Linked DNA regions of Notamacropus eugenii. The protein of the gene in region 1 interacts with the protein of each later gene in a pairwise test. Links are inferred from orthologs where the notes say so. Each region holds a gene or a part of one and is shown on either strand. Other genes may lie near its edges.

Evidence for each region. The genes of interacting proteins can lie anywhere in the genome.
Region 2: the proteins of PPP1R12A (region 1) and ATXN10 interact in binary tests that used the Homo sapiens proteins (3 or more experiments, as listed by UniProt). The link is inferred for Notamacropus eugenii from reciprocal best matches to the Homo sapiens genes PPP1R12A and ATXN10.

What each region holds. Positions count from the first base shown.
Region 1 is NC_092874.1:259,791,087-259,798,970, reverse strand, and holds the start of PPP1R12A (protein phosphatase 1 regulatory subunit 12A), read left to right. Parts: upstream 1-4,830; 5' UTR 4,831-5,106; coding exon 5,107-5,343; intron 5,344-5,487; exon of another isoform or gene 5,488-5,638; intron 5,639-7,884. UniProt on the Homo sapiens protein: Key regulator of protein phosphatase 1C (PPP1C). Mediates binding to myosin. As part of the PPP1C complex, involved in dephosphorylation of PLK1. Capable of inhibiting HIF1AN-dependent suppression of HIF1A activity.
Region 2 is NC_092874.1:309,983,009-309,990,230, reverse strand, and holds the start of ATXN10 (ataxin-10), read left to right. Parts: upstream 1-4,189; 5' UTR 4,190-4,444; coding exon 4,445-4,596; intron 4,597-7,222. UniProt on the Homo sapiens protein: May play a role in the regulation of cytokinesis. May play a role in signaling by stimulating protein glycosylation. Induces neuritogenesis by activating the Ras-MAP kinase pathway and is necessary for the survival of cerebellar neurons.

The DNA of each region.
Region 1 (7,884 bases):
ACTCGGAATCAGTCAGTGCATGTGGTTATGCCATGAACAGAAGTGAACTTGATGAGGACAGTGATTGGTAGCCACTTTGAGTCCACTCTCCTCAGCAATCAAGGTGGTATGTAGAAGAGTGGGCTTTCTGTTTTCAGAGGTTGTTGTATTTTGGTACTTACTATAGAACTTCTCAGCAAATTTTCCTTTATAAAAACTAACTGATTTTAATTGGTTAATTTCTGATGATAAAGAGAAGATACTAACTGGTCTAAAAGATATTGGGACAATAATCACTGGTAATTAATATTGGGGAGAAATTACCGGATGAAGGCTCATGAACAAACATTATTACAGAAAAATTACCCTCCAACTCTTCAGGATTTTAACCCTGAAAGGAATAATATTCTTGGTTTAGAGAACTTACCTACCTATTTGGGTGAGGACTGAGAGAGTTGGGCTAGAACTTAGGCATGCTACATAAAAGCATACAGTACCATACAATAAAGTGTTTGAAATATGAAGACATGGGATTAATTCTGATTCTGATACTAACTGTGATTTAGGGCAGTTTCTTAAGGAAACAAAGGCCCAAACAAGCTATTTGTAAAAAGAGTTGAACTACGTAGCAATTTTCAAGGTCTTTTCCAGGTCTAAGTGCTATAAAGGAATCATAATTAAGTTTTTTCTCTTCATCGCTGTCGAATTAGCTATCTTTTAATGTATTATGTATTAATGAAGCAAATTTCTTTTAGTAATAATAACTTATGGTTCCATCAGTATTAACACTGGGTTATCATGGAATACATTCTGAAACTGAGATTAAGAGAAAGAAAAATCTAGGTAAACCCAAACCTGTGTATGTATTGTCCACAGTTGTCTTTTGACAGGTAGTCCTCAAAAGTAGGTTCACTGTAGTTTATATTTTGTTACTCATATTTATAAGGCCTTAAAGTTTGAAAATGACTTTTCTTACAAGACTACTAGCTATATAAAAGAATTATTATCCCATTTAATAGATGAGGAAAATAAGGCTGAATGATTTTTTTTTGAGTGACTAAGTGACAAACCACAATGACACTACTAGGAAGTTGTACTCAAAAGTTGGACCTGGAAGCAGGACTCAAACTTAAGCCTCTGGTTCTTTCTGTAGTGCTCTTACTATTGTATAAGTATTTCATCTCGACTATGAATTATTTTACATCTTGTAGCAACAGTCAAAAACAAGGCATGGCCACCTCTTTATCTTGTCTCTGTTCCCAAAACAGGTATTTGGGGCTATTTTTCAAGGCTTTTATAAGAGCTATCAAATAGACCCAAATATTCTTGGAAAACAGCTATCTAAGGCTAAATGGTGACCCTTGGTTCTTCTCTGGGTTATTCTGATTGGGTTTCTTGGGGGGTGGAGAAAACAGTAGCTGACAAGAAAGGATTTTTTCCAATTGCTTTCCATAATCGAGAGCTGAGACCTTTCAAAGGTATGGCAGATGTCCTAGGCATGGCCTTTAGGGACCCTTTTACTGCTTTGTGGTGCTAACTCTAAACATGAGAAAAAATTTTGATTAAGGATTTGTATTATTGTAGTAACATAGTTTTTTAAAATTAAATATGTAATATTAAGTATGTACATTGCCCTACTAGGTGGTGGAGGCATACAAAAGACGCTGAATTCTCCTTAAACTTGTTACTTCAGCAACAAATTGCACCAGGTTACTTAAAGAGCAAAGGAACATATAAAGGGGGCACAAAACAGTGCTGTGCTAAGAACACTAGATCTGCGCTTCTAGTCATAGTTTGAAAGCTGGAATCTAACCCCTTCATTTGGCAGAAGAGGAAACTGAAGTCCAGGGAGTTTAAATGGCTTTCCTAAAGTCACAAATGGAACAAGTGGCAGAGCTGAGAGCAGACCCCAAGTCCTGTGACTCCAAATCCATCATGCTTTCCTCTATACCACACTCAGAACTGGATTAGAATCTTGGTTCTGCAGTTTTCTACACGTAAGATCATGGGACAGATTCTGGGAGAGTCTGTGTCTCACATGCCTCATTTTCCCCATCTGCGCAAGTTCCCATGACTCAAGCACATTGTTACCTTCTCTGCCTCTTGTAGTCTCAGAGAGTTGCCTAGAATACTGAGAGGTCCAGTGATTTGCCCAGGATTACAAAGTGTGTATCAGAGGCTGGAGTTGATCCCAGGTCTACATGATGCTACTGCATATGAGATAAAGTACATGTTTCTGTATGTCATAAAGACCCATATATGATATTAATTATGCAAGAAAAATAAAGGATTTTAAATGTGGATAAGACAAAATTATCCCTCAGATCCAACTCTGAGAGTCTATAAAATGCAGTGGGGAGAAATAATAATTTCAAAATGCTTTACGCACATTATCTCACTTCATTGTCATAGCTCCATGGTCTTACTGTTTCAGTGACAAGATAGGAATTTGCATTTTCCTATGTCAAGGTTCAGTAGTCTTCTTTATCGCTGGTCTAGCATGATTAGGAGAGGACCACTACTGGGTATTACTAGTGACAAAGCACCTGCACTTGAGATTTAGGATTATCCAACCTTGTTCACTTATGTCCTATTCATCCTGACCCCATTTGGGATTTTCCTGGCAAAGATACTGGAGAGGTTTGCCATTTTCTTCTCCAGCGGACTAAGGCAAAGGGAGGTTAAGTGGCTTGCCCAAAGTCACACAGCCAGTATGAGGCTGGATTTGAACACAGGTCTTCCAGACTCTAGGCCCAGCTGAGTCACCTAGTTGCTTCCTTTATTTGACTTACCTGCTGCCTTACATTAGAAAGTTTATTCAGAATGTGAATACTTCCTTATTATTACCTCCCACAATTGTTAATCTCAGCCCAATTTTTTATTTGTTTTGTATCAGTTCTCCGTTTTTAATTACCTATATTTCTCCCTCTTTGAGGGTAGGGTTCACAACGTCAAGTAAATAAAAGGCATAATGTTTTTGGTGGGGTGGGACTTGTGATTTCTCCTGAAGAAGAAACTCTTACCAGTGTAAATCAGCATCAATTCAGTAATTTAAGTTGCCTAGGGGCACTGAGGGTTGTGACTTTCCTAGGGTAAAAAGAGCCTGTTAAGTCAAAGGAGGACAAGTTGAACCCAGGTCTTTCAGAATTAAGGTTCTTGTACCTACCAAGGTACCAATTATTGTACCTACCAAGGTACAATACCTCTCAATAAATGCTTGTGGAATTGAAACCAGTGCTTATTTAGCACAATGCATGACACATAGCACTTAATGAATGTTTACTGATTGACTGAAATAGGTGAGATAGCTATAGATACAAAGCTATACGGGGGCCCATGGCGTCATCTAGTCCTCATTTGTTTCAGTGGCCAGACCACTGGGCTGAGGAGTCAAAAGCCCTGGTTTTAATCTCACCTCTGAAATCTTAGCCAATTGACTTTATTTCCTTAGGCCTAACTCATCTATTAAATGAGAAGGTTGCACTAGATGGCCTCTAAATGATCTTATAGTTCTAGATCAAATAATCTTGATCATGCCCTGATAAGTTGAGAAGGAACAATATATTTTACTTCAAGTTGGAGGCATAGTATTAGGAAAAAAAAAAGAAAAAAAAAGGCCCTAAATGAGCAACTCCAGAGACTCACCTCTGATACTTTCTAGCTGTGTGACTAAGTCAAGTCACTTTAACCTCTCTGGGCCTCAGTTTCCTCATCTGCAAAGTGGAAGGATAATACCTGTACATCCTGCACAGGCTTGCTACATTAGAACCAAATGAGATCATGGATGCCAGCACCTATATAGACCTTGAAGTATAAATACCAGGATTACAGTCAAGCTCTGAGACTATCCCTCTGAAATACACTCCATATATCACAGAGGCATGACCTTGTAAACTGAAATGTGCTTTATAAATAGTTACAGTGAGGGATCACAGTAACCACAGATTTGGAGCTGGAAGGAACCTGAGAGGTCATCCAGCTCCCCCCCCCCCCCCATTTTACAGATGAGGTAACTGAGGAACTGTGAAGTTAAATGACTGGCCCAGGGTCCCACAGTTAGGGATGGTCAGCTATGGTATCTGAGCCTAGGTCTTCCACTATAAGAATGACAACATCCAAAATTGAAATATCGATTAAAGGTTTGCAAAGTACTTTATGTAAAATGGACTTTTCTGATCCTTACGGCTTGGGGAGGCTGTTATTAAAACACCCAGGTCTTTCTTTCTCTAAGAACAACTGCTAGCTAGCATTTCTAATTTGCCTTAAAGTTATTTTACCTGCGTTAGCTCATTTGATCCAGAAAAACAATCCTGGGAGGGAGGTGCTCTAATTACCCCCATTTTACAGATGGGGAAACTGAGGCACAGAAAGGTTGGGTTATTTTGTCCTTCCTGCCCCCGCGAAAGTGGGCATTATCCCCGTTTTACAGACGAGGAAACTGAGGCCGATTAGATGGGTGGGCCAGGGTCAGTCAGGGAGGGTCCGAGGCAGGATTCGAACCTGCGTCTTCCCGACATCAGACCCAGGTCTTGGATTGAGATGTCTCCGCACAGTCCCCGACGGGCGACGGCTCACAGTCAATCCGACCCCACCTTGGCCCACAAAGACAGTCCCCGCCCCTTCCCTTCCTCCGGTTCCGGAGGCTCTCGAGGCCCCACCCTCTTCCCCTCCGAAAACCACCGCGCCCGCTCTCGGCGGTTACCCTTCTCTTCCTCCTCCTCCTCCTCCTCCTCCGTGTGGGGAGGCAGGCAGACAGAGCATGCGCAGTGGGCGAAGGGCGCCTCCCCGCTCAACTCTCGCGATGTCTCCCTACGGGAGGCGGCTGGTGACGGGTAGCGGCCTGCCCTGAGAGGGGCGGGGGCGGGGGCGGGGGCGGGGAGGGAAAGAGTGTTTGTGTCCCGGCTCGGTCCGCCCGCCAGGTGCGCGCCGCCCCAGTGCTCTGTGGGAGACCGGAAGTCGTCTCCTCCTCCCGTCTCCTCCCTGCCTCCCCACACCCTCCTCCTCCTCCTCCTCCTCCTCGTCGCTCCGGCGCGCGCCCCCGCGCCCGCTCCCCCCCTCCACCTCTCCCCCCTCCCTCCCTCCCTCCTCCCCTCGCGATAAGAAGACCCGGCGGCCGGAGAGGGGGGGATGAAGATGGCGGACGCGAAGCAGAAGCGGAACGAGCAGCTGAAGCGCTGGATCGGCTCCGAGACGGACCTCGAGCCGCCCGTGGTGAAGCGCCAGAAGACCAAGGTGAAGTTCGACGACGGCGCCGTGTTCCTGGCGGCCTGCTCCAGCGGGGACACGGACGAGGTGCTCGAGCTGCTGCACCGCGGCGCCGACATCAACTACGCCAATGTGGACGGACTCACTGCCCTGCACCAGGTCTGTCCGAGCGCCGAGGCCCGGAGCCCCGTCCCCTCCCCCCCGGCCGGCCCGCCTGCCCGGGCCTGCGACCTCCCCGGGGAGAGACCTAGGACGGACGGGAAGGACGGCGCGGGGTGGGTCCGAGGCGTGGGAGTGGAGAGGAAAGAGGGGGTGATGGGCCAGCGCTGGGGGATCCCTCTTCTCTTCGCCAGCCGACGTGGACAGCCCGGCCGAGCCCTCCAGCACTTATTAAGCGCCTACTGTGTGTTGCCTTGTAAGCTGCAGGGCGAGCGTGCTTGGAGATCCCTCGTCGGTGTGTAAAGGGGGGGCATTTAGGGATCTGTGAGACTGGGGGAGTAGTCGGTGCGGGAGCGCTGCAGAAGCGCCTACTACGTGCCCAGAAACCCTTCTGCCCCCCAATACTGTGTGGGGGAGGGGGGCCGCCCGGGGACTTGGGGGACCGGATCCCCGCGGGCCTCGGGGCGATTTCCTGCCGGTCCCCCTCCCTGACTCTGGCGCCGCACTTCTCCTTGTAGGGCTGGACGTGGAGGGGGTGGGGGGGAGACAGTGAAGGGCTCCCCCCACCCCATCCCCCGCCGGAAGGTTGAAGTGGGGAGTCTGCTACGGAGCTTTGTGCCGCAGTGCCTGGGACCTTCCGTCCCTGCTCTCCCCTCTAGGGCCGGCTGTAGCGAAACTCGCCCATCGGTGACATGGAACTGTTCTGGAGTGGGGGGGGGGGGTCGGAGATCGTCTCGGGGTGCACGTCTCGAGGCCAGGTGGGGAGAAGGAAACTGGGAACTTTGCTCAAAATGGATGCTTTGTGCATGTTAAAGTTTTATAGTGGAGTCCGATCGGGATCTCTCAGTGTTAGCCAAATAAGGAGAGACCCTGGGCGATGCAGAGATAACGTGGAGCTTTGCCTTCCCCAGGCTCGAAGTCATGGTACCGAACCGCACACGGTTCGTCAGAGGAAAGCTGATGTTTGACTGAATGGTCGGAGTGGACAGCCTTGCGCACCTCTCTGCATCTCAGACCGAAGTGGGGTGTGAAGGCTGCGGCTTTGCTCTGAGCGATACCGTGGGGGCGAAGCTGAGGGCTTGGGTTTCATGTGTGTGAGCTTGCCTCATATTTTAGGGAGGTCTCTGAGCCCTTTGCCATTGACTGCTTTCAGTCTAAGTGAAATACGTACATTTGAAGTTTTGTTTCATGGGATCAGGCAAGTCTTTGTTTACCAAGTTAATTACGTGACTTAAAACTACTCACAAAGTAGTAGGGTAAAATGCCCCTCAAAATATGGTGGAGATGTCACTGTCTTCCTCTCATGTAACCCGTTCTAGCAAAATGATAGTTGTCTGAGGTTTGTTTTATGGTTAAGCTGATTACGCTTCATGCTTCAGGTGGTCAGAATGAAAAGGCATTTTCGTAAATTGATTTCCTTTCAAATTAAGATAAAATTCTAAATATGACCAGCCCTGGCAATTTGTGTCTTTATTCTTAGGGAGAAGAGCTTCATGCCTTTATAAGTCATTCTGTGCTGTTTATTTTGTTATGAAATACGGTTTTTGAAGAGGCAAATATAGTTGGGCAGACGTCAAGACCGTGAAGGGTTGGTTTTAGTATTTTAAAATGTTTCACCTTTTCTTCATTTGTCCCTGTTATAGCTGTGACCACAGTATATTTGAATGGGAGGAGAAAAGGGGTCATTTGTGATACGTTAATGACGATATTGGTTCAAACTCCACGATTTATATTTAGTGACTTTTCAGTTCCATTTCTATAGCTACTGTTTCAGTCTCTGTCTACACAGTGTCACAGCAATCACTTTGACTTGGTTTTAAACAAGTACTCATTTTTATTTTGGAGTTAGTGAGTTGAATTTTTGATACTCTGTAAACTTTAATGTATTTTAACTAGTTTATATAATTTATCTCATCATGTAAGTAGAAAGTCCTAGTTAGAAAAAACTTTTTTTGCATAAGAACTTTGAAGTATCTGATTTTTACAGCCCTCAGACTAGTGAAGTTTTATATTTTTTAAAATATGAAAGATAATTTTTTATTTTTTGTCATGTGTTTTTCTTAATTGGTATTTCTTGTGCACTAACCTTTTTGGACACTGAGTGTACTTTGCCATTGTGGTGAGGGAAGCAGGCACTTCTCTCTTGGAAAAGTGAAAAGAGTAGAGGATCTGGAAGTTCCAAAGGAAATTTGTTTGAAACAGAGAAAGCTGTTTGAAAGATCTTTAAGAGAGCTCCGCTACCTGTGTTTTATCAGCCACTGTAGTTCCTGCTGTAAGACAGACCTAATAACAAGGATGATAAAAAAGCTAATTCAATAATTTTTTTAATACTAATCCATTAAATAAAACCTCAAATATAATTGAGCGTTTTATATTTAATAACGTGTCAGCCGGACACATCAAAACATATTACAGTGCAGAAATTCTTAATGGATTAAATATTGGTCTGTTTTAGTTTATTAGTCTCTTCAACAAAAAAAATTGCGGATTTCACTTTGATGTGGAAAATCATTAAGAATTTCCTATTCCACTGATTAATAT
Region 2 (7,222 bases), about 50 Mb from region 1:
AGCTCCCATGCCAATCATGCCACCCACTAGCTGGGCAGTCTTGGACAAATCTTCTCCTTTCTCTGTGACTAAGTTTCTCCCTCTGTAAAATGAGGGGGTTGGACTTGACATGTCTGAAATCTCCAGGACCAGCTCAGCAAAGCATCATGAGCAGATTTATCCCCTAAATTCATGCTCATCAGCACCCCAGGCTCGACTCCTAGAGCATGGATTTTTTCCAAGCAACCCCCTCCCAAGATCATCTTCTAAATTGTGGAAGTATTATAATCTGCTTCACTGAGAGGAGAGAAATCAGAGCTTCTTGGAGCCCTGGTGGTTACAGGTGTTCCTGATCTAGTACTACAATGCTTTCCATGGCTCCCTATGGCCTTGGTGGAGGGAGGGGATACAAACTCTTCCACTCAGTGCCAGAAGCAATCTGGCTCTAGTCTACCTTTCCAGGTTTACTTCATATCACTCCTAATTGCACACACCCTGGGGACACAGGAGATACAGGGTGGAGGCCTGATGGGGGGGAGATTTGAATTCAAATCTAGCCTGACACTTCCTAGCTGTGTGACCCTGGACATTTCACCTCTCCCTTACTCAGTTTCTTCATCTGTCAAATGTGGATAATAACAGCACAGGGCTGTGGTGAGGATCAGATGGATGATATTCATAAAGTGCTTTGCAAACCTTATAGTGCTATATAAATGGTAGCTGCTATCATCATCACCTTCATCATCTGCCTTATTTGCTGTTTGCAAATACGACAATCCAGTCCCTGCCTCCACATCCCTTCCCATGCTTGGAATCCTCAGTGCCTCCTCCTTCAGGAAGCCTCTCTTGATCTGCCTGGTCATTAGTGCTTTCTCCCCCTATAGATCACCTCTTTACTTCTCTGTGTTCACTTTGTCTCTCCTGAGAGAATGGAAGCATGCCCTACTTCTATTTTGTTGTATCCCCAGCACCTAGGACAGTGCTGCGTACACAGTAGGGCACAGGTTGAATAGGATGGTAAGAATCCTTGACCAGTCAGGATCTCATGGTTTCTCTAAATCTGGCCCAGGCACAAGGGTGCACCCCTCCCACAGGACCTGTGCCCAAGTCATCATGCCAGGGAAATGGCAATGTGCCATGTGATGTGGGCAATCTATATTCAGTCTGTCCCATTGCCAGTGCCCCTCCCCCCCATTAATTGGTTTATCGTTTGCACTTACTTCTGTGCAATTGTTGTTTGTTTTTGTTTTTGTTTTTGCCATAGATTTTAAGTTCCTTAAGGCCAGGGGCTGTTTCTTTCTTATCTCTGTATCCCCTGGGTTTCATGCCTGGAACACAGATGCTGGTTGAAGAATGATTTGGGCTTGATCCCTTGCTCTATCCCTCACTTCCTTGCAGCCTGGGTGACCCTCTCTGGGCCTCAGTTTCCTCATCTGTAAAAGGAAGGGGTTGGATTAGATGAACTGGCATGTCCAACATGCTGAGAAGTTAGGCACATGAATCACTCTGTCCCACTTAACTCAGTGGAACCTGCCAAACCTGCAGAGAGGGGCTGAGAAGGGCTTTTGTTTCAGTCAATTAATCACAGGCTTTGGGCCAAGGGAGAAAACCATGGAACAGGAGTGCCAGCTGTGCCCTTAGGGGTCATCTGTAAGACTCATCTTAAGTGATGTGATTGCAAAGGAGGATCCATTTGGGGGGAGGAGGGGCCTTGGATCTGACCTCAGCTGAGGTCTTCCTCCCTTCCCTGTCGGATGGAGGGCCTGGTGAGCTTTGAAGGGCCGGTGTGGGATTTGCAAGGCAGATTCCTAACTCTGCAAAGAGCCCAGCAGAGAAGCCCCTTACCTAAGGGGAGCCTGTGAGCACCCCACAAACGGGAGAAAAGTCCCATAGGCGAGTGTGCTCCCTACTTTCCCCTTGGACTCTGTGTGGGCTGCTGGGAAAGTGTCACACTTGGGATTGGGGATGTCTCATACCAGCCCTTCTTATCGTACCAGGGTAAATGGCCCTTTCTACAAACGAATAGTCTGGCTGACACATAATCAAGACAGGAAGCACACTGGTCCGGTCTTGAGTCATAGCACTAGAAAATCTGCTCTCCTAGAACCTTGCTGGGACTTGGCAACAAAGCTCTGGGGCTCTGACTTGTCAGACAGACTGAAGGTTGGGGAGTAATCCCAAAGCAGGAGCTCCCCACCAATACCACTTTTAAACTAAGGGAGTCCTCACCGCCAGTCCCAGCCCAGAGGAGAGGCTGCCAGCAGCCAGTCCCAGGCGGGGAAGTTTTCTCAGGGGTAACGAGTCAAGGGGTGTGTGTGATGGGGGCAGGCTGAAGAAGGCAGCGAGAGACGAATGTAGTTTGGGAGGATTTGGCAGAGAGGAGGGGAAGATAGGAAGCATTCCAGGTGTCAGGAAAGGTATGTGGGCTTTAGCTCCAGGCAGACGAGGGAGAAGCAGGGCCCGTCTGGCTGCAGAATCGGGACCAGGAATGTCTCTGCCAGTAGCAACAGACCCTTCCCCACCCCTGGCCCTCTCTCTGTCTTCCTTTTTCCAGCCAGGTCACGCTCCTGGGGCTCTCGGGCCTCTGAAAGGAGAGGGAGAGAAAAGCAGCCTCGGCTTTGGTCATGTCGGTCGATGCCGATTCCGCCCTCCAGAGCCCGGAGATTCTGGGGGGGTCATTGTGTCCCGGGAAATGGCAGCCCGGAGACGGAAGGGAAGTGGGCCAAGGTCTCATAGTTGGCGAGCAGCAGATCTGACTGGAGATGCGCGTCTTTCCAGCTAGCCCTCCACTCGATATCCAAAACCCAAACCCAACCACAGCAACGTGCGAGATTTCGCCCTTGGGGAGCCTGGTAGAGTACCCCACCCCACCCCCCACCCCGGTCCCCCCGCCTTCAGGTAGCTCACTTCCGAGTAGGGACACAAGACACAAACACAGTACGTCGGACTTGAAGATTGTTTTTTTCTCAATTACATGTAAGAACAATTCTTAACTTTTTTTGAAATTTGAGTTCCAAATTCCCTCCCCCCTCCTCGAGAAGCTAAGTAATTAGCTATAGATTACACTTCGGGGTACACAGCGCGGGAGGGCATAGAAAAAGTGAGGTAGGAGAGGACGCCTTTCCATTTCTGAGGGAGGGCTGGCTTTTTCAGCCAAGACCGTCCTTCCCACCTTCTCAGGCTCTCCGGGGTCCCACGTATCGCTCCTTCTTTTTCAGTCTCTTTCATCTCACTCTTTTTTTCCTGCCTAAAAAATGCCCCTGCCTTTTAACCACCGGGGAGTACCTAACGTGGCCATCTGCCCGCCCCTTTTTAGTGGTTCAGGGGGGTTCTCAGAGCCTGTACTCTATCTGTGGAAGCCCAGGTAAGGCCATGCTGCGCTCCTCCTGGGCTGGGGGCTTCACCCATCCGCGGGGCTGCTCAGAAAGCATTCTGCTTTCTCTGGGGCTCCCAGAGTCATGGCATCCCGAGCCCCCAGCTCTGTCCTTGTGGGCCGCAACTACTTCCTCGTTAGAGGGTAATGTGACCAGTGTGGCTTAATTAGAATCCCCTTACTTGTTTTCAGTCAATGGACCCCCTAACAGGTGAACGTGCCAAAAATGCACGCCTCCCGCGGTGAAAATCTTTCTTCGTGATCCACAGAAAACCCGAAAGGAATGAAATAAATACATGTTAAAAAAGAACTAAAAAGTGATGAATTTGGCAGGCTCTGGTGGAAAGAGCTCTGGTTCTGTCAGGGGAAGGGGGCGCTGGATCAGGCCCTTCTGAAGTCCCTTCTCCCTCGGAAGACATGCCGCCAGGACGTGCCCCAGACCTCAGGCTCTGCATGTGCAGGTGCCCTCAAGGTTGGACCTCGCACCCATCGCCTCCTGCCAGGGGGAGGCTCCCGGAGCCTGTTCACAGCCACAGCATCCCCAGCACCGCCAGCCCTGCTCTCACCGTCCTGTGGCTGGGCCTCTGGAGAAGGTACTGGTAGAGTCCAGGGCAGGGGACACACCTCGCCCACTCCCTTGAGGCTTCCATGCCCCCCGGAGCTGACCCAGGTGCCTGGGGAAACGCCGCGCCAGAGACTGGGCGGGGCTGGACACCCACTGTGTCCCCGGGGGGAGGGACTCCTGGAACTCAACACTCTGGGGATTGGGCGCTCAGGCCTTTGGGGCGGAGCCTAAACTCAGGGGAGTGTAGGGGACGGGGCCGAGGGGACGATTGGCTGCGGCTCGCGAGGCTGAAAGGCGGGACGGGAAGTGGAGGCCGCCGAAGATTGGCGGCGGAGACGTTGAGGGCAGGATTGGAGTCGGGAAGGAGGCGGTGGAGGAGGAAAGAGACACCCGATTGGGGGAAAAGGCGTTGGGGGCGGAACTCGAGCCTCCGAGAGGCGGGCTTGGGGGAGGCAGGGCGCAGTGGATTGGAGAGAAGGCCGTTGTGGGGCGGTTTCCTGAGCGCAGGGCCCGCCCCCTCGCGGAAGATGGCGGCTCTCCGGGAGAGCTTGTATCTTGAGGGCTTCAGCTCTGGGCCGATGGAGGCGGCGCTGGCGGCACTGGAGGCCGACGACGAGCCGGGCAGGCGGCTGGAGCGGTTGCGGGAGATTATAGTGCTGCTCCGGGAGCAGCAACACCGGTAACGGAGGGGCCGACGGGAGGAGAAACTGAGGCAGGGACCCTCGGGGACGGGGAGGGGGAGGGGCGCAGCGACCCGGAGCCAGGAACTAAGAGAGACAGAGGCCCTCCCCTGGAGATGGCCCCTCCCCCTCTACCTCCCCTGCGCTCAGGCCCCTCCTTCTCTGACATCCCCGGCTCCGACGTTTCTTGGGTTGACTGGAATGACACTGAGATCACTGGAACGTGCCGGCACTTGTTATCTCATTAACTGCCCCTCTAGAGTTCTTGGGGTGAGGCTGCCCGGCTGCCCCTGGGCCCTGGCTCCCTTCTTACTGTTGCAGCCGGTGCCCTCCCAGCCCTCTGAATGGGCGCCACATCTCTCCGAGCTGCTTCTGCCTCGGTGCATGGGCCTGACCACAGCGGTAGGGGCTAGAGCTTCGCCTTCACTGAAGGGCTGGCAGGCTTAGCAGGTGCCGGGCGCCAGTAGGCCTGTGGGAACGTTCTCTTCCTCCCATCCCCCTTAGCACCTTGTCTCCAACTCTCTGCCCTGGCCCCTCAAACGTTAGGTGGCGTGCCCCGTGTAGACTCCTGTTTGGTTGTAGCTGAATGATCGATTTTATTCCCATGGGAATGGTTGGTTCTGTTTCATCAGTGATCTTACTGGCTTGATCAGATTCTTTAAAATAAATTTTTATTCATTTAGATTGTTAATACCCAAACCCAAAGCCCTGTCCCTCCTAGTTGAGTACAGAATCCTGGCATAATCGACCTGGAACTAAATTAAACACAACCAGGATTCTCTGGCTACTAGCAGTGCATCCCCAGCCCATGGCCTTGGGGGTGGGCATGCAGACGTGAATGGGGCAACTCCTGCCTTCTATGCTATTGCAATCCATCCAGGGGAACAACACCCCCACACACCTATCTAACCTATCTAAAGGTTATTTCAAGGTGATCTGGAGAGGAGGGTGAAGAGAAGGTGCTAGCTGGGCTTGGTGTGTGCAGAGTGCAAGGTGGGGCTTCAGAGGAAACCAGAGATTCTGAGAAGGGGATGAGAGGTGGTGCTTTCTAGGAATGGGACATGGACCCTGCAAAGACACTGAGATGGTGATTTGGGTGGTTTGTGTGAGCAGGAGCCAGAAGGTCATCGAATAAGCAAGTGATTGTGATGTGTGAGAAAGGTGAGAAAGCCAATACACTACCTCCCAAGGCAGCCCCTTCTACTGTGGCATAACTAAGAGTTAGGGAATTTTTCCTCATGTGGATGGATTGATAGATGATAGATGGATGGATGTATAGATGGGATGCATATAGAGGGATACATGATGAATGGATGGATGGATAGATGGATAGATGGATGGGTGAATAGACAGATGGATGAATGAATAAACAGATGGGTGGATAGACATAGGATAGGGGATGGATGGATGGATGGATGGATTGAAGGATGGATGGTTGGAGAGAGAGAACATTTATTCATTGCTCTTGGTAGGCTGGGCCCTGCTCTGCCAGCCAACAGACTTGCCTCTCTGTTTCCAGCATGGGCTCTAAGTTCTGCCCTCTGGGCTTGGGCAGAACCATTGTCGTTCCTTTTTAGTTACTTGAAGACAGCTGTTGTGGGCTGCTTCACCTCCTTCCTCTAAGCTACACATCCCTGTCCTGGCGCAGCTCTCATGACCTGCTCCAGCAGGCTTGATGTGGGAGAGTGTTGGGAGGGTAGAGACAGCCTGGGTGTGGGGTGGCATCTTGGCCTTGGGTGGCCTGTGGGAGGGATCTTCTGCTGCCTAATGGGGCACCTAGGGGATGAAGGGACAAGATATACCACCTCTATCCAGTGGGGGTCTTGAGTCCAAGGGTGTCACTGCCCAGGGTGACTCTGGCAGAGGTGGGGAGGGGGTATGGGTAGATCCTGCTAAGACACATACCTCTACACCCCCTGCCCCCCATACGCATTCATACACATATTCCACAAACACACCCATATATACACTCATAGTCATGAACACACACACACATTCCCACTCACATGTACTCACACCTGCACATACACATTCACACTCAGTAGCTGCCTTCTCCCTTCCCTCTATTGTGTCCTTGGTGAAGGATATCTTCACTCCCTTATTTCCATCTGCCTCTTCTCCTACTTGGTTCCTCTCCTTCATTGGGTTTGCCCCTCCTCCCTATGTTTGCAGGGGCGGCTTTTCACTTGTTTTTGAGTTTTGGGGTCCCCAGGAAACCCCCGATGTTTGCTGCCTGGGCTCCTCCCTCCATCGTGGGCAGCATCGTGTCTTCTCTCTCAGGTGGAGATTCCTCCTTTTATTAACTCTCCTGTGTCTCTGGGGCTCCTGGAACTGGTGTTTTCTTCCTGGTAAAACAATCTTCCACGTCAGTAAAATCATCCATAAGAAGAGATGAGGGAGAATTCTATGTGTTGTCTCCGGCGATCAGCATGCCGAGGGCCACAGGCCCTGTCCCTCATTTTCATCTCACCCAGACAGGCTCTTCTGTATTTCCTGGGCACCTGACTGAGTCTGGTGTGTGAAGGAGGGGTCATTGACTGAGACAGAGCCAGAAGAAAATGGAGATGAGATTGGGGGAGGCCACTGAGGCTTTGACACAGGAAATTTCAACTCCTTTAATTGAGT